Elephas maximus indicus: one gene and its partners. The protein of the gene in region 1 interacts with the protein of each later gene in a biochemical or structural test. Links are inferred from orthologs where the notes say so. Each region holds a gene or a part of one and is shown on either strand. Other genes may lie near its edges. The genes, in order: IRAK1, PELI1 and IRAK4.

Evidence for each region.
Region 2: of the proteins of IRAK1 (region 1) and PELI1, one has a biochemical effect on the other in vitro, tested with the Homo sapiens proteins (5 studies listed by BioGRID and IntAct, with this or other methods). The link is inferred for Elephas maximus indicus from reciprocal best matches to the Homo sapiens genes IRAK1 and PELI1.
Region 3: of the proteins of IRAK1 (region 1) and IRAK4, one has a biochemical effect on the other in vitro, tested with the Homo sapiens proteins (2 studies listed by BioGRID). The link is inferred for Elephas maximus indicus from reciprocal best matches to the Homo sapiens genes IRAK1 and IRAK4.

The regions. Positions count from the first base shown.
Region 1 is NC_064846.1:2,291,445-2,299,202, reverse strand, and holds the start of IRAK1 (interleukin-1 receptor-associated kinase 1), read right to left. Parts: upstream 3,075-7,758; 5' UTR 2,977-3,074; coding exon 2,841-2,976; intron 2,757-2,840; coding exon 2,589-2,756; intron 2,465-2,588; coding exon 2,327-2,464; intron 2,254-2,326; coding exon 2,159-2,253; intron 1,996-2,158; coding exon 1,807-1,995; intron 1,660-1,806; coding exon 1,595-1,659; intron 1,472-1,594; coding exon 1,357-1,471; intron 1-1,356.
Region 2 is NC_064835.1:72,710,671-72,718,655, reverse strand, and holds the start of PELI1 (E3 ubiquitin-protein ligase pellino homolog 1), read right to left. Parts: upstream 3,046-7,985; 5' UTR 2,705-3,045; intron 1-2,704. UniProt on the Homo sapiens protein: E3 ubiquitin ligase catalyzing the covalent attachment of ubiquitin moieties onto substrate proteins. Involved in the TLR and IL-1 signaling pathways via interaction with the complex containing IRAK kinases and TRAF6.
Region 3 is NC_064822.1:98,441,699-98,449,317, reverse strand, and holds the start of IRAK4 (interleukin-1 receptor-associated kinase 4), read right to left. Parts: upstream 3,049-7,619; 5' UTR 2,960-3,048; intron 2,613-2,959; exon of another isoform or gene 2,489-2,612; intron 1-2,488. Other genes in the region: pseudouridylate synthase PUS7L, read left to right, coding at 6,512-7,424.

The DNA of each region.
Region 1 (7,758 bases):
ATTCACACAATGGAATACTACGCATCGATAAAGAACAGTGACGAATCTCTGAAACATTTCATAACATGGAGGAACCTGGAAGGCATTATGCTGAGCGAAATGAGTCAGAGGCAAAAGGACAAATACTGTATAAGACCACTATTATAAGATCTTGAGAAATAGTAAACCTGAGAAGAACACATACTTTTGTGGTTACGGGGGGGGAGGGAGGGAGGGTGGGAGAGGGTTTTTTTTATTGATTAATCAGTAGATAAGAACTGCTTTAGGTGAAGGGAAAGACAACACTCAATACATGGAAGGTCAGCTCAATTGGACTGGACCAAAAGCAAAGAAGTTTCCGGGATAAAATGAATGCTTCAAAGCTCAGCGGAGCAAGCGCGGGGGTCTGGGGAACATGGTTTGCGGGGACTTCTAAGTCAATTGGCAAAATAATTCTATTATGAAATCATTCTGCATCCCACTTTGAAATGTGGCGTCTGGGGTCTTAAATGCTAACAAGCAGCCATCTAAGATGCAGCAATTGGTCTCAACCCACCTGGAGCAAAGGAAAATGAAGAACACCAAGGTCACGCGACAACTAGGAGCCCAAGAGACAGAAAGGGCCACATGAACAAGAGACCTACATCATCCTGAGACCAGAAGAACTAGTTGGTGCCCGGCCACAATCGATGACTGCCCTGACAGGGAGCTCAGCAGAGGACCCCTGAGGGAGCAGGAGAGCAGTGGGATGCAGACCCCAAATTCTCATAAGAAGACCAAACTTAATGGTCTGACTGAGACTGGAGGAATCCCAGCGGCCATGCTCTCCAGACCTTCTGTTGACACAGGACAGGAACCATCCCTGAAGACAACTCATCAGACATGAAAGGGACTGGTCAGCGGGTGGGAGAGAGACGCTGATGAAGAGTGAGCTAATTATATCAGGTGTACACTTGAGATTGTGTTGGCAACTCTTGTCTGGAGGGGGGATGGGAGGATAGAGAGAGAGGGAAGCCGGCAAAATTGTCAAGAAAGGAGAGACTGAAAGGGCTGACTCAAGACGGGGAGAGTAAGTGGGAGTAGGGAGTGAGATGTATGTAAACTTATATGTGACAGACTGATTGGATTTGTAAACGTTCACTTGAAGCTTAATAAAAGTTATTATAAAAAAAAAAAAAAAAAAGAGACCCATAGAAAATGGCCACCCAACCTCGGGAGGAGCCCTAAGCTAGGGGCTGCAGGGAGAGCCGGGAGCCCGGGCCCTGCCCACTGGTGAGACTCGTTCACAAATACTGAGCCCAAGGCTGTATGCCCAGTTCTCCCCAGGACCCCGTGTGCCACAGGCCCAGGGACCTGTGCCAGGTCAGGTGGGGCTACCTGGAAGTGGAGGCGGTCTTCCAGGGAACCATTGGGCAGGAAGCCGTAGACTAGGCAGTAGAAGCCGCTCTGAGCACAGTAGCCGGCAAAGTCCACAATGTTTGGGTGACGAAACCTGCTTGACAAAGGGAGGGCTACGTGTCTCGCCTCAGGCTTCACCACACTTTCCCCCTGGCCATGGCGGGGGCCCAGAGAGCCAGGCACAGCCCTGGAAGCATTTTGGTAGGGGGAAGCTCACCGGGACAGCTGCTCCACCTCAGTCAGGAAGCTCTGCTTCACAGCGTTCCACTCCAGATCGGCGTCCTGCAGCCCCGGTGAGGAGGGGAGGGGAGGGGAGAGGCTCTGCTCACCATGGCCACCCCACCACTCCCACTGCCACCTTTCCCGGACTTTCTGCAACCCAGCAGCCTGGGACCCTGAACTGGCGCCTTCGCCGGAGGACACACCCACCTCCTTCAGCCTCTTCACAGCATACACCGTGTTCCTCATCACCGCCCGGTACACGCAGCCAAAACCACCCTCACCGATCTTGAGCTCCTCGGAGAAGTTGCGGGTGCCCTGGGCAATCTCAGGGAGGGGCCAGCAGAACGGGGCAGGGTGGGCCCCCTGCAGGAAAGCCAGTGGGCTCTCTGGGCTCTGCTGTGGGACAAGACCCCAGCAGGTGGGCTCCTGTGTCTGGGTCTCCTCCCCTCTGCCCTGGGCAGCCAGGTCCCCAAATCCACCCCAGCTGCCTCCCAGCTGGCTGCTGGCTCCGCTTTCTTCCTCTGTGCCTGGAATCTTGCCTGAGGCAAGGGGCACCCACCTCGGTGGAGCAAGGGGCTGGAGTTGGCAGTGCTGGTCGGGGGACGGCAGGGTGTGCGGTGGGGCCGAGGTGGGGCCCAGGATGGGTCTGGGAACCTGTTAAAGTGAGAGACCACGGTCAAGGTGCCTCTTCCCCAAACCCATCTTGTCCAGCAGCCCCGGCTCTTACCTGGGGAGAGGAGGGTGGAGGCTGAGGACTGCGACTTCCTGGGGCTCCTGGCCTTGGCCTCAGAGGGGACAGAGATGCTGCTGGGCCCCAGGGGCGGGGTGGTGGCGGTGGGGGGCGGGAGAGGGGCAGGAGGATGCCCTGTGCACGGCGGAGGAAAGGGAGAGGGTGAGTGGCGCCTCGGCCCTCGGCCCCCGGCCCCCGGCCCCCGGCCCCCGGCCCCCGACCCCCGGCCCCCGGCCCCCGGCGGCCAGCGGGCACTCACAGGCCGTGATGATGTCCCGAGCGCGGAGGAGCTGCAGGTGCGTGAGGATGCGCACGAGGTCGGCCACGCGGGCGTTGCGATTGATCCAGGGCCACAGGACGCTGGCCGTGCGCTGTCCCGAGCGCTCGCAGAGCCGAAGCTCGGTCTGGTCGCGTACGATCAGGGCCGCTGCGGGGCAGGGGGCGTCAGGCGGGCAGCGGCGACCCGGGGACCCCCCGCCCCCCGCCCCGGCCCGCGTCCGCCGCCACCCACCGAACTGGCACCAGTCGGCAGGCTCCAGGGCGTCCATCACCTTGTAGAAGCGGCACATGACCCAGGGCGGCACCTCGTACAAGAAGTGCTGGGCGCCGGGGGCCGCGGGGTCCCCCGGGCCCGGGCCCCCGGCCATGGCCCGCCTAGCGCCGCCGCCGCCGGGCCGGGGCCTCTGGGGCCTCGGCGGGCGCGGGCCTCGGCCGGCCGGGTCGACGGACACTGACTCACTTCCCCTTTAAGTCGCCTCGTGCGACGCCCGGCGGGACGGAAGGGGCGGTGCCCGGGCCCCGCCGCCATCTCGGCCGCCGCCGCGCAAGCCTTGGCCACAAGGGGGCGCCCGCGCCCGGCCGCAGCCCCTGCTCCCGCGAGCCCGGGAAGTCGGACCTGCACCTCGCCCAACCGGGCGGGCCTCCAAGAGGAGCGGCCTGCTAAGTGGGGCGCTGAGGGACGAGGACGAGCGCTTCGGGCACCAGAAGCACAGGGCACGGCGAAGGCACAGTATGTTTCAGAATGGGAGAGTGCTTCCAGGTGGCTACAGCCGGACCATGAGAGAGCCATTTGGAGGTCCCGTTAAGATGTTTGGTCTTTAAGTGGTAGGCAGTGGCTAGTCATCAGAGTTCTGGGCAGGACAGGGTCAGTTAGGTGTTCCACAAAGGCCCCCCTTGGCTGACTCCAGTCAGGGAGGGCGCCCTGGCTCCATCTTCTCTCCTTCAAACCTGCTCCACCAAGTGTTAGCTCCTCTACTTTCCTTCTCTACTGGCTCCCTCCAATGAGCACATACACCTAAGTCTCTTCTGACCGAAAAACCGATCTTGGTGCCTCCCCGCATCACCTTCACCTCCTGCTGTCTCTCCTCCGTTTTGCTGTCACACTTCTCAGGCAGTTCTCACTTCCCCTGGGGCAGGACAGCAGGGTCTGGCTTCCCCCAGTCACCACCTCGAACTCTGCTCAGCTAGTTTGACTTCTTTAGCCACGTTTGTGTCTCTTGCCCACTCTCAAAATGTTCTCCACCCTGATTTCCTTGGATTCTTGGGCCACCCCTCCACTCCTCTACCCCACACCTCAGCAGCCACTATCTTCCCATCGTCCCCTGATCATCTCTGGGGCTCAGCCCTTCCCCACTGGCCCCCGCCTGCTTTATTACCTTCCCTGCTTACACTCTTCCCGGGGTCCTGGAGCCCTCTGATGGGGTCCCAGTTCCTTTTTGCAGCACACATGGCTGTCACGATGTGGCCCCTGCCCATCCTCTCATTTCTAACTCTCTCCACAGAGCAGCAGCCTTAAGCAATTCAGAACTCTGCAGGGTTCCAAAAATGTACATGCAGGGTTTTCTGTGTCCTGGAGTTTGCACATGCCACTGGATTGGCCTGGAACATTCTCCTTGTCCAACAGCTGTGGCGAACCTTTTCCGGTCCCTCGGCAGACAGAGCTGACTGCAGTCCACCCGGCACCTTTTACTTCTTGTGCATCCTGCTCACCACAGGGCCACCACCCCACTAGACGGGGAGTCCCCAGGAGCAGGACTGTTCCTTCTTCAGTTGGCTTCTCCAGCTGCCAATAAGTCTTCTCCGCCAGCTTCCTGGCCCCTCTCAATCCTGACCCCAAAGGAGCATCCCCAGCTTGTGTTCCCAGGGACTTAGGGCTGCTTCCAGAAGCCAGATCCTCCCACAGGGCCTGAAATCTATCCCCACTGAGCTTCTTCCACAGGACTTCTCAGGAGACAGCCCTTCCTGAGACACACCCTACCATCTGAGATGACCACACACATGCTAAGCTTCAGGGGAGCAGGGCCTGGGGCCTCCTTGCTCATGCAGGCTGTCAGCTCCTAGAACAGTCCAGATGCCTACGAGTGGGATCTTGTCCCCCTCCCTTTCAGTTTCCATTCAGGGCCAGGACTTGAGTGTACCTTCCAGTACGTGTGCGTCCAGCATCTGCAGCGTCCTCAGTCTGGAGCCAGGGCAAACAGCTACCGAGAGCCCATACCCTGACTGGGAACCAGAGAGGATGGGGGGACAGGCCTATAAACCCCTTCCGCTCCTGGGGAACCAGGCTCTTGTGGCCCACAGGGCCCCCTTAGGGCAATCTGTCAGCATGCCCTTGCTGGGTCAAGCGGCCTGGTCATCAGGCAGCCAAGGCCAATGCAGAGGTCACAACTGACGTTCGAGACAGGAAGAGCCAGAGCTGGGAGAAGGGGTCCAAAAGCACCCAGATGCTCCCCGCCCCTGGCAGGGACACGCAGACCCTCCCGCCCCCAGTCCCTGTGCTGTGATTAGAAGGACTGGAAGAGATGGAGGCAGGGCAGACCTGGCCGGCCCTTCTGGGGTTCCCCATTGTCCTCAGGACTTGGAGCACCCCAAAGAGGTGGCCTCCGCAGACGAAGAGCGCATCCCTTCTTTCTGCTCTGCCAGGCCTCAACCCCGTCCATCTGTGGCAAGGGCAAGCCAGAGACGGTCAGGAAACCCGTGTGACCTGGGAGGGGGACTTCTGACAATGAAAGCCCAGACCTTGAGTCACTTTCACAGAGAGATTTATCGAGAATGCTAACAGCACAGGATACAGTACTTCCCAACAAAAGGTGCAAACGCGTCACTTAGAAAGGCATGCTGAGTATTCTTTGCTTCACATGTATTAAAAACCTTACAAAAATAAAATAAAACTGCGTGCTGCCCATCTTTTCGAATAGTAAAAGAACCTTATGAAAAATCACTGGGTTTTACAACAAAAGACACAAACGGACATTTTTATGTAAATTTATAAGGCAAACTCTTTATATAATAAATAGGTTACAGGGATTCCGTGGGGGTGTTTTTCAACGTATACAGGTACATTCAGACAGGTTTACTGAAATGGTACAAATTTCCTTAATAAATTGCCTTTTGTTTTTAAATATATCAGTGCTTTCAGTCATTTGGCTATACACAAAGAACCCTTTTTTTTTTTTAACACTACAAAAAAGCAATCAATATTTTTTTTGTTTTTAAAACGACCTACTTATTTTCTAAAGTAATTGTCCCGAAACACAAAACCCGAAGGTTAATGCCATCAAGGCTGAGTCTGCCCCAGGCTCTCCCTACCCTCCACACTTCCCCCATCCTCGGACAGGCTTCCGGGCTGGGTGGCCCGTGTCACTGGCCTCCAGGCTGGGACAGGGAGTGTAACTGCGCCTCCGGAGGGCAGCCCTCCCCCACCTGGTTTTTGTAGCTACTGCCCCTCCCTCCCCGTGCAAGTGGCCACCACGACCGGCACTGTCCCTGGCCTTTCCAAGGAGGGCTGCCGGACACGGAGCAGAGATGTGTCCCATGAACCCCAAACAATGTCTAATGCTGGGTGACAGCTTCTCTGAGGGAAGGGAAGGGGGTTTCTCAATGCCACATTTTGCCAGGGATCAGAGAGCCCCCTCCCAAGTCAACTTACTGCCCTGGGACATCACATTGGTGTTGTGCATATGAATGGGGTGGGAGGGGATGCTGTGTCTTTAATGGTAACTTCCGCGGGACCCGCCTTGGAGAGGATCATCCAAACGCCAGGCCTGTTCAGGAGGAGCTGCTTCTGGCGGGGAGCACTCACCTCCCAGCGCCAGCTGGGCCAGACCCCTCCGAGGACCTCCCGGCCCCACCACTTAGGCCATCCACCCTCCCTCCCCACTTAAGCGAAGGCAGCTGCACACATCCAGTCCTCTCCTGGCTACCCTCGCAAATGCCACCTTGTCTTTCCTTAAAAATAACTCTGATGTGAGTAATCTTGGGGTGGGGGTGGGGTGAAGCCAAAAGAATCCACTGGGTGGTATGAAAGGGGTTTTGCTCTTAGAGGATGGCCACGTGTCAGCCAGAACCGGACTCTCTTTTGTCTTTTTGTCTTTTGGGGGGGTTGTGGCTGACCTGGGCAGGGGGCCATCTCTTCAGATTTCCCCGGAACGGGGGAAGAGGTAGCCCCTCTCATTTCAGTCACCGGCCTCCTCCCTCCAATTTTTGTTCATTTGTAAAGAAATGGTGTCTCTGGAACAATTACTTTAAACATGGTTACAATACAGACTTCAGTTCAAACACGTAAGAGATTTACTTAGCAAAGTTCCTTTCACCCACCAAAAACTACACAAATATAAGCCTCAACACCACAGTTAAGAGGACCAGTAGAGAGTGTCTCATGTTTGGAACACAAAAGGAAAAATCAAATCCAAACCAAACCCAAACAGAAACCCCCCAGAAAGACAAGGCAAGGGCAGGGCAGGAAGGAGAAAGGAGCGCAAACACAGCACGCGCTACAGTGTCCGGATACTCGGGCCGGCACGTAGTTAGTAACAGTCCTGGTCATATTTGGTCATATATTCATCAACTACTGACTCTGGAGCGGCTGTTATTGATTGAAGCAGGAATAAACTCAAACAGAAAAAGGCGGCCTTGGTAGCAAGGGAAGGAGCAGGCTTCAAGTTCTGTGACCCTTTCTGCACCCATCGTCCTCCACAGAAGCACTGAACAGGGGGCCTCACCGGCCGGCAGGGCTAGCAGCCCACGCGGGCTAACTCCGGCATTGCCTTCACTTCTGGTCAGAAATCACGTGCATTTACACATGGGGACACCCACCTGGGAGTGGCAGGACATCAGCGCCAGTGGTCTCCTGGCCGACTCTCCCCCACCCGGCCCACTGCTAATACTGAACACCAGCTTCAGGGTGAGTACCTCCCACCCAGCTTTCTCTCGAGGGTCCTGAGGGCAGCCCAGCCACCCAAAGGGCCAGAGACCCATTCCTCTTGTGAACGCGGGCCTCAGAAGCAGCAATGGCGCAGGGATGGAAGCTTTTGGCCCTGGTGATTATAATGCTCTCTGCTTTGGAAGAACAAGTTTCTAGTTTTTTTTTTTTTTTTGGTGTTTTTAATTAAAAAAGGATCAAAAAGAACCGTTACAGCTAAACTCTCTAGCAG
Region 2 (7,985 bases), on another chromosome or scaffold:
TAAAATTTTAATATATCATATACAATTAAACTGCATGAAGTAATCCATATAAGCTTTTCTGACTCAATTAAAACTAAAATAAATCTATATTGATATGCCAGGGTAAGAGGGATACATGTGAGTATGATAGATCGTTTTCAATCCAAGTCTTTTGGCTTAAAATATCAACTACAGAAACTTCTGTCTAAAAATACTAAGTTTTCACAAAGCAGAACTACTATAGTCCTTATCACCTGACTTACTGGACAACCACAGCAAAGCCTATTCCAGAAGTCTTAATAGCAAAGTGACATTATGACAACCTGAAAAGAAGGTGAATGATGTCAAGTAGAAACAAACTTATGCTTCCCCTTTAAATCTGCCTCAGCAGTACTAGACCCAGTTTCCCACCCTGTACTTTTCAGTCATTTCCTTTAAGGGGTCCCAAAGAAATGAGTAAACCAGCCATGCCAGACTTAGCCAGTCAACACTAAATCCAGCCTTTGGACTCAAGTGACTGAGCAAAGACACTGTGTTAGCAGCTTCCTTAAAATACAAATACTCCTGGTAAATCTGGTTTGTGAGTGCTACAAAAAAAGTTAAACATAACCAATAGTAAAATCACTTAACTGTTAACAAGAGCACAGATCATCTCTCTCTCTCACACACACATACAAACACACACACAATCTGCCACTAAGGCACAACCTACAGCTCACTTTTTTCAAGTCAATAAATACTATTACGTTACAACACTTCTACCTTGCTAATTAAAACCTACGCGAAGGTTTCCTCTTTAAAAGCTGTAAATTTATTAGATGAGACATTATAACCACTTCACTACATGCAACTTTCCATACACTTTAACTGTTCAATTTTCCAATTGTTCGTTTTAAACTCAAGATCTCTTTTAAGACACTAGAGAAAAGGGACAGGTTAAAGGCATGGGGACAAACATCAAAATAACACAGGTTTTATTTTCTGATGCCAACACCAGAATCTAAAATCTGGGGGCAACTATACAAAATTAAATTCAAGAAGAATTAAAGATAAATGGATAAAGCACCCCGGGTTACGACCATTCTGATCATCATTTACCGCAAGAAATAACGAGGAGAAAAGATGCTAGATTTTAATTTCTGGTACCTTTCAGTTTTGCTCAACTACCAAGACAAGCTTGTCCACAGAGTTAAGTATTTTAGTCCAGAGAGATTGTTGGTGTGAATAAAAACCATGAGGAATTTCTATGCTGTATCTGTCCAATAAGAACAACGTTTTGAGAGATGTAAACCGGATCACATCTTCTCTGTAAGGTATAAACAAAACATATCACGAGCTTAAACAGAAAAACTGGAGAAATCGAATCTTCTTCACAATTCAAAAATTTAAACTCACATTACCATGCAAACTGTATTAAATAAAAACCCAGCATTTCTCCTGCATTAGAAAAGTAATACATATTCAATGTAGAAAAAGACAATGCCAGTTCTGAAACAAAAGATCGGCTGCTATAAACCCAAGTAACATTTTGCAGAGCAAGAAAAAAGTAAAGTCTTTGAACCAGAACAAACAGAAGTCCTTTTCTAATGCTTACAGCTTCAGTCCTTGACACAACCAGGACATTACTGTAAGGCGTTCGATAATATTTATTGATATCCAATTTGATGACCAAACTACGGGAAGGTTGTTGGTGCTGTTAAAAGCAAGATACATTTCCCAGTGTGTAGTGATCAAAATCTGTTAAACGTACATTTAAAAATATGTCCCTCTTTCCATCACTGCTCTCCTGCCTCGTGACTCGCACACAGAAAAATTAAAGTAGATGGCGAGTTTATGATTTACGGTATTTTTCCAACTCGGAGCATTTTTTTCAATAAGTTTGAGGTTTTAAGATTGAAACCACTATGTAAGAAAAACTGTTGTCTGAACTACCTAACAATTACCCAGGCTTCTTTTAGGCTTCAGTTCACATGTAAATAAAATGAGCATCTTTAACTTCTCCACAGGGCACTGGAGAACGAACTCTGACTCATAAACGCTTTCAGGTCCTCAGACACCAGCGCGGAAGAAGATCAAGGGTATCCATCAATTACAGAGCTCTCCCGAACCTCAGTTTACCCACCTACAGAAACGGGCTCATTAACTTGCTTCGCAGGGGCCCCGGAGGTGTAATTAATTAGTGTTTTTAAAATGCTGAGATGCCAAGATGAAAGGAGATGCGAGGGCCACGCAGGGATGATGACAATAATCATAACAATAAAAAGAATGACTAAGTTGGGAGTCTGCGTTATGTAAGGAAGGAGAAAGAAGTTACCAGATTCGCACCAACAAAAGAAAAACCCGTCGCCCCCTTTGTTTCCCTTTCATTTCTCTTTTCCTCCACGCCGGCCGCACAGCTCCCCTCCGGGACAGGAGCGTGGTCGGAGGGTCCCCGGCGCGCGAGGGGCGCGGGGACTCGGGCTTGGCCGCGCGCGCCGCTCCCGCCGGTGGGGGAGGGCGCGCCGGGCCCGCTCCTGACAAAGGCGCTTCCTCCTCGAGGGCGCGGGATGGAGGCGCCGCAAACTCCGCGCACGGCCGCCCCCGGCGCGGGGACGCGCGGGCGGGCGAGAGCCGGGCGGCCGCTCCGCGAAGCCGCCGAGGAAGTTGCGCGCCCGCCTCCCCCGCACCCCTCGCCCGCCCCGCTGCGAGCCCTCCCGCGGCACACCGTGGCCGCCGCCACGCTCACCGGACGACTGTTGGTGGCCAGAATGCCGGCACGGCCCCCGAGACCCAGAGAGCGCGGGAGAATTGTGTGTGCGGAGAGCGCCAGGAGACAGCCCGGCGTTCCGCCGCCGCCGCCTTCCTCGCCAGCCGGCCAAGCCCAGCGAGGAGAAGTTGACCGCGGAGCCGAGCGCTGAGAAGCCGCGGGCGGAGGGAGAGGCGCGGGGCCCGCTTTGTGGCGCGCTCCCGGAGGGCTGGAGACAAATCCAGTCGCGCGGCAGGGCTGGTGCTGCTGGTGGAGGCGGCGGCGGCGGCGCCCCCCGACGGTCCCCTCCGCCTCGCACCGCCTCTGGGTCACTGACACACACTCGGAGGGAGGGGAGGGGACAAGTGGGTGGGCGGGGCGAGGGAGGGGGACAGGGCAGGGCCTCTGCGGTAGGCGTTCCCGCCGCGCCGAGAGGGCTCCTGGGAGTTGTAGTTCTCCGGTTGAAGAAAAAAGGGATACGCACGTTGCTTTTGGGGACCCTTCCGGGGCTCGCTTTGCACTGCGCATGCTCATGGGGAAGAGACTTGCCCACGCCCCACCGTTACCATGGTGACCGACACACTAACGAAAGAGATTATATTCAGTGCTGCTGTTGGCTGAACAAGGCCGGGTCTTGTATTATTGTGCTGTTGGGGATCCCGCTCTTGGCTGCTCCTTCCTGCTTTGCTCCACCCTCAACTCCTAACCTCACCGCTCCCAAGTGCCCAATGAAATCTAACTTCCTCGTGGTATTTCGGTCTTCCCTGCTGCTGAATTTTCTTACAGAAATCCTAAAGCACAAATGTCCCTTTCCCTGGCTTCCCTCAACCAAATTCCCTCTATCTTAAATTTAACTTTCTTTACCTCAAACGTGTAGAAATGTAGTTGTATCCAATAAATTTAACAATTACGTTGTAAAACTGTTAGACACATCACCATTATCAGAATCCCATATTAATTTCTTAACACAATTAGTCACATCTAACTTTAAGGTCAGCAAAGGTAAAGTTAAGGCTAAGATCGCTATATTTTACTTGAGTAGTGTAAAATAATCCAAATTTGTTCATTTTAAGGCCTACAATTTTTAAGAAATACAATTTTCATAAAGTAGCTATAAATTCAAAAGATGAATGGAACATTGAAAATTGGCTTTATGGCAGACTTTTATTGGACAATAGAAGTCTGAACCAAGGTATGAGTATGTTGCTGGGCTAGTCAGCTAAGTGTGCCCATACTGGGCACCCAGCTATGAATAGGCAGTGGAGGAGGGTGGTGGTCTACCATGCCAGGAATGGCAAATTGAAGAGGAATGGTGTCACATTCATCATCAAAAGAACATTTCAAGATCTATCCTGAAGTACAACACTGTCAGTAATAGATGCACTCACTGATGAAGATCAAAGACTATAGCCTTCAGTATGGATTACACCTCAACACAAAGAAAACAAAAATCCTCACAACTGGACCAACGAGCAACATGATAAACAGAGAAAATATTGATGTCGTCAAGGATTTTGTTTTACTTGGATTCACAATCAACGCCCATGGAAGCAGCAGTCAAGAAATCAGAAAACATATTGCATGGGACAAATTTGCTGCAAAAGACCTCTTTAAAGTGTTAAAAGGAAAGATGTCACCTTGAGGACTAAGGTGTGCCTGACTCAAGCTATGATATTTTCAATTGCCTCATATGCATGCAAAAGCTGAATAATGAATAAGAAAGACGGAAGAAGAATTGATGCCTTTGAATTATGGTGTTGGCAAAAATACTGAATGTACCATGAACTGTCAGAAGAATGGACAAATATATCTTGGAAGAAGTACAGCCAGAATACTCCTTAGAAGTGAGGATAGAGAGACTTCATCTCATGTACTTTGGACATGTTATCAGGAGGGACCAGTTCCTGAAGAAGGACATCACGCTTGGTAAAGTAGAGGGTCCGTGAAAGAGAGGAAAACCCACAGGAGATGGATTGACACAATGGCTGCAATGATGAGTTCAAGCATAGCAACAATTATGAGGTTGATGCAGGACTGGGCAGTGTTTCCTTTTGTTTTACAAAGGGTCGCTACGAGTTGGAACTGACTCGATGACACTTAACAACAACAGTAAGTAACTCAGGAGCCCTGGTGGCACAGTGGTTAAAGCACTGGGCTGCTAAATGAAAGGTCAGTGTTTCAAACCCAAGAGTCACCCCACAGGAAAAAGATGGGATAATCTGCTTCTGTAAAGATTTACATCTGGTAACTCTGTGGGGCAGTTCTACTCTGTTCTATAGGGTCACTGTCAGTCTGAATCAACCTGATGGGAAGGAACTGCCAGACATTTGTCATTAAGGCACAAAATAGTCGGATAGTTGATTTTTTACTTGTTGTAAATGTAAAATGTTGGATAATGAGATAGTCGATAAATGAGGAGTAAGTGTATTTGTTTTGGTTGGTAAGTAATTGGAGTCCCTAGGTGGTGCAAACAGTTAACATGCTCAGCTGCTAACCAAAATGTTAGATGTTCAAGTCTACCCAGGAATACCTTAGAAGAAAGGCCTGGTGATCTACTTCTGAAAAATCAGTCATTGAAAGCCGTATGGAGCGTAGTTCTACTCTGACACATGTGAGGTCACCATGAGCCGGAATCAACTCAATGGCAACTGCACTGGACTAGAGTGAGTTATTGCCTGCGTTTGGGGATGGAGGGCGAGGAAAAGCTACCAGCTTTGATGCTTTTGTTTGCAAGCAGCAGAAAACCCAACTCTAAACTGACTTAACTAGTAAAAAATATTTATTGCCCCATCTTACTAGAAAGTCCAGTGAAAAGACAGGCTACAAGGTAAGTTGATTCAATAACTCAGTGATGTCATGAAGGACAAGTTTCTTCTGTGTCTCATGGTACAGCCACTGCTCACTTATCTGCATGGTTAGGTTCCAAAGAGCAGGTTGTTGTGTGACAATTGGTGTGATGACCACATCAGATCACAAAATGAAGGATGACTACATCGTTACATAACTGCCAAATTACATCATTACATAACTGCCAAATCACATCATTACGTAACTGCCAAACCACTCAGAAACATCGTCCTGCCAAGTCAATGCATAACTTTAACCATCATAGTCGGAGTTACTCTGACCTTGTACCTTGGCATTCATTACTGCCAGACATATGTCATTAATGTACAAAATAGTCAAATAGTTTACTTTTTACTTCTTGTAAATGCAAAATGTTGGATAATGAGATGGCCGATTATTGAGGAATAAGTGTATTTCTTTCCTTAGTAATAACTTTATGGTCATATGATGGCTGCTAACAACTCCTCTGGCTATGTCTCCTCATCTAGGTCCAGGAAGAAACTATAAAACAAAGTCACTTCTACAAGTCATTTTGTAAAGACAACTCCTTTCCATAAGTCTCAAGAATTGAGCTACATGTCTATAAACTAAAAAAAGTGGTATTAAACTAATTATCTTAGGACTAAATATATGCCTTGCCCCTGGAGCCAAAGAAGTCAGATTCCCACAAAGCACATGGGCTGTGATGAGGAGGCGATATCCGAATAAAAACTGAGGTGATTACCCAGACAAAGAAGTGGCTTGTATGATTATGACATGGTGATTCACTGAGTTATAGAATACAGGAGAAGGAACAGATTTTCAGTGGGAATTTAATGAGTTCACGTCATATAGGTTGAGTTTGAGATGACTCTGGAGCATCTAGGTGGAGAAATGGAGCAGGCAGTTGTATGTATGTGTGTGTGTGGGTGGGTGTGTGTGTGTATGAAAACCAAAAAACCGAAACCTGTTGCTGTTGAGTTGATTCCAACTCATAGTGACACTGTAGAACAGAGTAGAACTTACCTATCGGGTTTCCACGGAGTGGTTGGTGGATTCGAACTTCTGACCTTTGGGTTAGCAGCCATAAGTCTTAACCACTGTGCCACCAGGGCACTCTCTCTCTCTCTCTATATATATATGTATTTTACTCTACGGCTCTGGAGAGAGATCTGGACAGAGGATATTATTGAAAAACTAACACCATACACATGGTAGTTGAAATTATAGGAACGGATGAGGTCACTAGACAGTATGCACAGCAGAAAAGGAGGAGCCAATACTAGCACCCTGGGAAACACCAGCACTTAAGGAATAAGCAAGAAGATCATGAAAATGCCTGGGAAATAGCTGATATTCCACTCTTTCACATCGGTGTGACCACACTCATTGTAAAACATAGTTAAAGACTTCCATATGAAGCCTTGTTGATAAATAGCTGCCCTAAAAAAAAAAAAAAAAAAAAATTTTTTTTTTTTTAGCCCCTCTGAATACCACCTTGTTTCCCTGGGTGTCCAAGCCTCTCCCTCATCACTTCCCCGTGGTGTAGTAACTAAGGTGGTAACTACTGGCTTCAGTGAGAATCTTTTCGGGTAGGGTCAGAAGGCAGACTCATATTTGTGCCGAAGTATAGCTTGTTAGTTATTTAAATATACATGACTAAAAAATATGTAGTGACTTCCACAACCAGACATGAGAGAGCAACAGAATCTGAAATCACCAACCCACCATAAACAATTAGAAAAATGGACAAAATTCAGGAAACAACCATTTTTAGACATTAGGCAACAGGCAATACAGGACTGTGATCCCTGATAAGAGAGGGAAGAATGAGGTGAATCCTAATATCACCCAGGCATTCTGTCAGGAGCAATTTCCAGACTATAGTGCAGGGAGGGGGAATTTGAACCCCTAAATCTTGCTGAGTTGAGGAGATAGAGATGAGAGTTCAGGGAAATCAAGGTGGTTAGAACATGCAGGTCAGATTTCCAGAGAGGAGTGAGCTAAGCAGAGAGATAGTTGTAGAAATCTGCACAGCTTGTACATGTGGAGAATCAATCACACACCATGAGGCTGGACAAAAATAACTTTGAGGAAAGAACAATTACAAGGGAGCCCACATGGGTCTGGGAATCGTTCGTGTTTCCTCCAGACGGAGTGATGAGACTTCACTGACTATATGGAGCATGCTTATAGGGCATATATAGAAGAGACTAAGATTTACATATGAGACAAAATTAGCCCTAGGATGAAGGCTACTCCTCTAGATCCACCATAAAGGAGCTTAAAAACAAGCCTTGAATGGATCAAACTAATCCAAAAGTAATTTGTTTTCCTACCAGGAAAATTATAAAACTTTTTAAAGGAACGAAACAAAATCAGCCATTTAACAAGACTAAATTTTGCACGTGTTTCACCTAACCAAAAATTACTAGATACACACACACGCACAAAA
Region 3 (7,619 bases), on another chromosome or scaffold:
ATACTGCTTACAAACAAATAAGTAAATACAGAAATAACTCTGTGACTATTTCGTTATATCATTAATTCTCATAGTATAGAAAAATCATTCATATTTTCAACTAAGACAACTCAGACAAGCGCACATGGTGATGTGGCAATTGAGGAATATACTAAAATCAGCATCTGCTTCTACAACCCAGGGGGCTCTCATTAAATGAATTAATAAAGTTTTATGACTATGCTTCATTACTACTCGATCAGAAGGCCGGAGTGTAGAGGGGAGGAGAGAAGATGGACTTCGAGGGTGCGTGAGTTTGGGTTCTAATCTCAGCTCTTCCACAAACCAACTGTGACCAGGGTTAATAACTCAAATTTCTCCAGACCCTGGTTTCTTTAGCTGAAAAACAGAGATAGTAATATTTAACTCAAGAGTTGCCATAAGATTTAAGATCAACAAATGAAAAAGACCTAAACATAGCATACAATAGATGATCAAAAAAATACATATATTAAAAAAAAATTTGTTGACGTTGGGTTGATTCCGACTTGTAGCAACCTTATAGGACAGAGTAGAAGTGCCTCGTGGGGCTTCTTTCAAGGCTGTAAATCTTTACAGAAGCGGACTGCCACATGTTTCTCCTGCAGAGTGGCTGGTGGGTTCGAATTACCAACCTTTTGGTTAACAGCCAAGCACTTAACCACTGCTCCACCAGATATCTTTAAAAAAGGAAAATATCAGTACTTTTAAGACATGTATAACCTTTCTAAAACACATTCTTTACTTCCATGCCTTTGTAAGCAAAATATACCAGATAAATAACCTTTATTTTCAGACAACTGAACGCATCATTATGAACAAAAGCTGGTGATGCCTTCCGGACCTATTAAATTATACAGGGCTGTCCTTAAACATATATTCATAAATTATAACACATCTTTCTCGAACATGATCTAACTCAACGGTAAATGCTTTAAAACACTCTGGGTATATTAAACGTAAAATATCATTCATTCATTAAATATTTACTGTTTTGTGCCAGACATTGTTCCAGGCCCCAGAGATTAATAGGCAAGTCAGATCAAAAATACCTGAACTTGTGGAGCTTATATTCTAATTGCAGAAGACAGACAAAAAACAAATAATATCTAAAATACATTTATGGGCGTAGCGGAGTTCAGTGGTAGAATTCTCCCTCCCACACAGGAAATCTGGGTACAATTCCTGCAATGCTCCTCAAGCCCAGCCACCATCTGTTTGTCAGTGGCTGTTTGCGTGCTGCTATGATGCTGAATAGGTTTCAGCAGAGCTTCCAGACTAAGAGGGACTAGGAAGAAACGACCATCTCCTCTGTAAATGAGCCAATGAAAACTCTGTGGATCACAACAGTCTGGTCCGTTGTGCACAGGGTCGACAAGAGTCGGGGGCTGACTTGAGGACAGCTAACAATGGCAACAATAATATGTTTGATGGTACCAAGGGCAGTGGAAAAAAATAAACAGAGACCAGACTGTAATTTTAAATAAGGTGGTCAGAGTAGGCCTCAATAAGAAGGTGCCATTTGATCAATGGTTTGGAGGAAGCAAGAAAGCCAGCCTGTGAGATATCTGTGAGAAAAGTGTCCTGGGCAAAAGGAATAATAAATGCAAAGGCCCAAGTGGGCCCTTTGAGAAACAGCAAGAAGACAATAAGACTGAAGGGGAGGGAGCAAGAGGGTAGCAGATGTGGTTAGTAAGGTAAGGGGACCAGGTACCCAGATCTCATTTTTATTGACTTTGGTTTATCCTCTGAGTGAGATGAGAAGACAGATGAGGTTTTGAGAAGAAGCAAGACATCCACTATAATCATGTCTTAAAAGACACTGGGGCTGCTGCTGAAATTAAGTTATATTGGATTAAAGGCAGAGGAGCAGGGAGAGATCAATTCAACTACACCAACAATCCAGGTGGGAGATGCTGGAGGTTGGGCTAGGGTAGTAGAAGAGAAGGCACAAGTCCTTGGAGGATGAGTCTATTCTGAGGTAGAGCCAAAGAATCCTATGTGCTGATGTGGAGGGTGAGAGGACAGTACCAAGGTTTTTGGCCTGAACAACAGCTTCCTGCCATTTACTGAGATGGAGAAGAGACTAGAAGGTCTAAGTTTTGCCTGGAAGATCAGGAGCTCTGTTTAGACAGGTGGAAAGCAAAATCAAACGTTTACCATCAAAAAAGGAGAATAAAACAATTTCTAACTTTCTGTCAGTCTTCTTCAAGGATTATCCCTTTTTTTTTTTTTATCCCTAGAGAGGGGAAAAGCAGAATTTAATATCCTCTACTGTTTTTTTTTTTTTTACTGTTAGGGACTCCTTGGGCACTGGGCATATAGCATTTTGAGGCACTAATAGCGCTATTCTCATTCCAAATTGGCTGATGTGCTTGCTAGCTTTTTCAACGTTTGTTTTTTATCCCTTTGTCTCCTCTCTTGCTTCCACGCCGTCAGGTACACTTTTCGTATGTGATAATGTACTTACCTGTTTCTTACAACTCTTCACTCTCTAATGTCCTGGAAGCTTAGAAACTGGAGGAAACAAGCTAATCAGAATCGTGTGGAGCCTCTGAATGCCTCCCATCTCGGCCGCGTGCTGAGCTTACTTCCTGGTTTTTAGGAGACAAGATTTCATTTTGTAAACGGGTTCAGGGAACAAAAAGCCACAGAGTTGAGAAAGTTGAGGCGAGATTAGACGGCGCCACTGAACAGCTGGGTGACGGCTCTCTCGATGCCTCAGCTTCCTCCCAGTCAGACTAACTTGTGGATCTCCAGGGACTCACTCCAAATCTCGACGCCGGAGGTGATTCATGCAACCACTTCCTCTCTAAACTTTTCTCACTTTGAATATAAGGCATAAAGCGATCTGCAGCCCGAAACAGCCACCCTACTAAGCCTGGAGCAGAGGAGGACAACCTCCGGGTAGCAGGAAGAGCGGACAGCGGCAATCCCTTACCTGCCCGGGGCGTGGGGCACTGCGCGGGGGCGGGGCGCCTCGCGGCGAAGCCAGCGGCGGAGCAACCCGAGCAGCGGGAAGCAGCGAAGCGAGGACAGCACTTCCCGTCAGGCCCCGCCCCGGGCTCCGCCTGCTCCAGGCCCCGCTTCTTCCTCTCTGCGCCGTCAGGCCGCTCCACGAAGAACGTTTGGTTAAGGCGCTTCTTCACGTGGGAGCCTGCCCCTTTAAATACTCTCCCGGAGGACGGTAAATAGATGAGGCTTCCGGGCATGCGCACAGGGTTGTGCGGGGACTTACCTTCGCCTGGATGCGAGGTAGACCGGGTGTTGCGCGTTGCTTCTTCCACGGTGTGGGGATTGTGTTTGGGACGATGATAAAGCTTGTATTGGTTATCCCGATCCTTTGCCCCCCAGACGAAGGCGACGTGGGGCAGTGACACACCGAGGGGTGGGGACGGTTGAAGAAGCAAGTGGAGCTACTGGTAAAAAAAAAAAAAAAAAAAGTGTGTTAATACCTCAGGGAAGAGTGAGACGGCGACACAGGCTTTAGTTCTGCTTCTCTGGGAACCCGTTCGGCAGATATTGCACAGTTGGAAAGGAAGAGCATGGGGAAAAGGGAGCTCTCTCTCTCATTTCTACTACTTTTTCAGGATCCCTCCTCAAACTAGTAGTTCTCCAACTTTGGCTAAACCAAACTAAATCCACCTCTACACCCCAAATCCTCATCTGCAAACCCTGTTGCTTAGGAGTCTTGCACATTTATACTTAACTCCACGTGGGCTCCTTGGCTGCCCTCCAGTTCGGTTCCAAACCCTTTTTAAGGTTTTCCAAACTCTCACCTCCAAACCTGTCTCACATTTCTGCCACACTTCGGTTTCTGCATTTGTCCGCTCTTGTCCCAAGATGCTCGCTTGGTTGGTATTCCCTTGTTGTTGCCTTCCCACCCCTCCCGCCCTCCACCTTGCTCTACTTACCCCTCTAGTTTAAAATGTCTTCATAGGGAAAGAGATCATTGTTTCCACGGCCAGTTTCTGCAGCTCTACTCTTGATCACATCGCTGTTTCATCAGATGCATACTGATCAGTACCATCAGAGTCATTTTACTAAATCATCTTTTGGATTATGTCGTTCTAAGACATCTGCAGTTGCCATCTATTGGTCACCCAGTGGATTCTAAGTCCTTGGCAGGGCATTAGGTGTCTTCCATAGTCTGACGCTAATCTAGCTGTATTTTCCAGAACTGTACTAGAAAAGCCCCCCCCCCCCAATCTGGGATGTTTATTTTTCTCTAACACATTGCATCTTTTGTACATTATTTGATGATATTCTCTCTGCCTCATTTCTATATCTCGAACCCTTTTTAGGCCACACTTACTTAGATGACCACTTCTTGTGTTATACCTTTCCTTATTATCACAGGCAAAAGTGAGCCATTCTTTCCTCCTCTTTACTCTTACAGCTCATATTTTGTACTAGTGGCGTCATTCAACAGTCAATATGTTGAATTGTGTGCCTAATATGTGCTTGACACTGTTCTAAATGTGGGGTAATCAGTGATAAATAAGACAGACATCACAGAACTAACATTTTATTGAAACAATGTAAATGACAAAGAAAATATTAAATAAAAAAGCTATAAAGACAGTTAAAATAAGGCTTCGTGAAGAGAGTGTGCTAGTTTCTTTAGATTACTCGTCAGGGAAGACCCCTCTGAGGATCTGATTACTAAAAGGTGCAGCTATATAATTGGAGAAGGGACAATTTCAGCTGCAGAAACAGTTAGTTTAAAGGAACTGAAGAAGGCCAGTATAGCTGGAGTGTAATGGATAATGGGGAAAGGGTACAAGATGCTTTTGGAGAATAGACAGGGTCCAGAATCATAGTCTTTGAAAACCAGGGTAGGGAATTTGTATTTTATTAATACATGTGAATGGAGTGTTTTAAGCAGGGTTCTGATATGATTTAATTTACCTTTAAAAGTACCATTCTGGCTGTTTTGTGGAGCATGGACTAGAGTGAGTCAGTAGTAGAAGCAGTGATTAGAGACCTTCACAATGTCTAAGATTTTCCGGAAGGGACGTATTAAGTAGGGCTGATGGAAAGATAGCAGGGGTGATCAGAGAACTAGATACTTAAAGTGCAAGTTTTGTAGGTTGCAGTTTATGGAAATGAGAAGGTGTGACCACGGAAGGGGGTGACAGATGAAATTGACTTGGGAGATTGAGGAACTGAGGGACAATGATATTGAATGAAAGATGGATGTGGATGATCATGGAAGTCGTGCTGGATGTGAAGATAGTAAGCCAGGTGTTAAAGTCATCAGTGAATGAAGAGTAGTCCTCGGGATTAGAGTGAAGATGACAGCAGATGGTAAAGCCTGATGGCATGAACTTCAGAGGCACTGGGAAGTTTGAAAGTAGAGGAGGAAGAAATAGTTTGGAAGGAGCAGTGGGAAATGGAAAATATTTATGACCTCCAGACCTAAGGCACGTGGCGTGTGAAAGGAAAAATAGCCTTTGCTTGAGAGGACTGCAGAAGTAGTAGTCTGGGGAAACAGCCGGGTTTCAATTAGAGCAAGACACTGAAGGGGATGCAGGAATTAAGGAATTAAGTAAATATCCTTGTATATTCCCTGGGAAATTAGGATATAGAAAATTTGCTGTAATTTCTACATGGCACAATGGAAAGAATTGAGAAGAGGAGGCTGGTAAATTGTTTCGGATTAGTAGAATATGTTGTATAAATGGGGGTGAAGGCCCTGATGATGATAAATTTCCTAGAATGTGTGGGTTTGTGATGATCTGACTGGTATGGGGTCTCTGGGAAACTGACCTTTATCATAGCTCCATGTGGTATGGTAGCCGTGGGTTGTTTGATGAGTGAGTAGTCTTCCTCAGAGGACTATTCTTTTGTGTACTGCTCCCACAAAGCTCTATAAGGGTCTCCTTTTCTCTGATGGCAAAGATAATGATGGTTGGAAATCTCCTTGGGATCAACTTCAAAAGTTCGTGTCTGTCCTAATGGGGGCTTTAGAGAAGGCTTAAGGCCCGGGACTAAATTAAGTCCTATTTCTTTCTATCTTCTTCTTGTCTCCTGTCCCTGCACCCTTAGCATATGAAACTCTAGTCCTAAGTTCTCTGAAATTAATGAAATTTTCAACTCTACGGATGGGGTTTGGACAAATCATTGTAAACAGTCCTATGTTCTAGTCTATTTTTTGTGGTCCTACAAATACTATTTGTAAGGTAAGCTTGAAACTGACCCATTTAAAATCCAGGTAATAGATGGAAGTCTGGGGTAGATGAAGAGTCAAGTTTTAAGTTATATTAGAAAATGTTTGCCTATTCATTCATCTTGGTGTATGAGAGTCAAAGAACACATGGTATATATTCATGAATTAATAATTCTATTTAAGAGAACTCAGGATTGAAAGGGACAAAGAGAATTAAATAAATCCAGCAAACCTGTTCCTTTTTTTGTTTTGTTTTCCACAACTTCTCTTTCTGGTAACTGACTGCCTCTTTGTTTCTTTTGTAGACATTATTATGTAAGAATGGAAGAGGATACAGATTATAGAAACAGGTTCAGTTCTTTGTGTTATATTACTGATCATGCTGGATTTCGTGGCACTATAAAAAGCTCACCAAGGGACTTCGTTGTTACTGAGATTGATGAGCGGGGACAGTTAGTTAATAAAGCCAGTGATGAACCTCTGTACGAGATTAATAACATACTACCTGAGCCAAATAATTATGCCAAAAAACCAAAACTAGACCTTCACAATTTATCCTTTGAAGGTGGGCGTAACCAAGAACTTGGTACTTTAGCTAGGTGTTCCGATGGTGACCAAAATCATCAGTCTAGTTCAGAAAATGAAGATATGATCAATAATGGAGCTTCCAAATGTGAAGAAGAAAAAGCTGATATATTAGGCTCCTTATTAGATGAAAAAACTAATGAATTACTGAATCAGTTTGCTTGTGATGTAAAAGAGACGTGGAATTCTAAAATTGAGCTAGTGGGACCATCTCCTGAATTCTCGTTAGGCAGAATCCTTGACAAAAACCAGCGGGCCAGTTTACATAGTGCTGTTCGGCAGAAATTTCCTTATTTAATAACTGTAGGAAAAAACAGCGAAATTGTTGTAAAACCAAATCTTGAGTATAAAGAACTCTGTCACTTGGTGTCTGATGAAGAAGCATTTGACTTTTTTAAGTATTTGGATGCAAAGAAAGAAAATTCCAAATTTACCTTTAAACCGGATGCAAACAAAGACCACAGAAAAGCTGTCCATCATTTTGTCAACAAGAAGTTTGGAAGCCTCGTGGAAACCAAATCCTTTTCAGAACTGAATCACAGTGCTGATAATCCAAATGTAGTGATAACAGTAAAGTTTCGGGAAAAAGCACACAAGCACAGGAAAAGGTCTCATCTTGAATGCCAGGAAAGAAAAGTCATATATACAGGTAATTTAATAAATCATTGTTTTCTTGGATAAGCTTAAAATTGTATGAAAGTTGAATAATTTTAAATGAATTGAACAGACCTGGCCAAAGGGATATTTGAAAATAATATGAGTCTGTCTTTTAATGGAAGATAAAATCTTTCATATTATACTAAGTGTAAAAAATAGCCTTACTGATGAAAGTATGGTTAAAAAA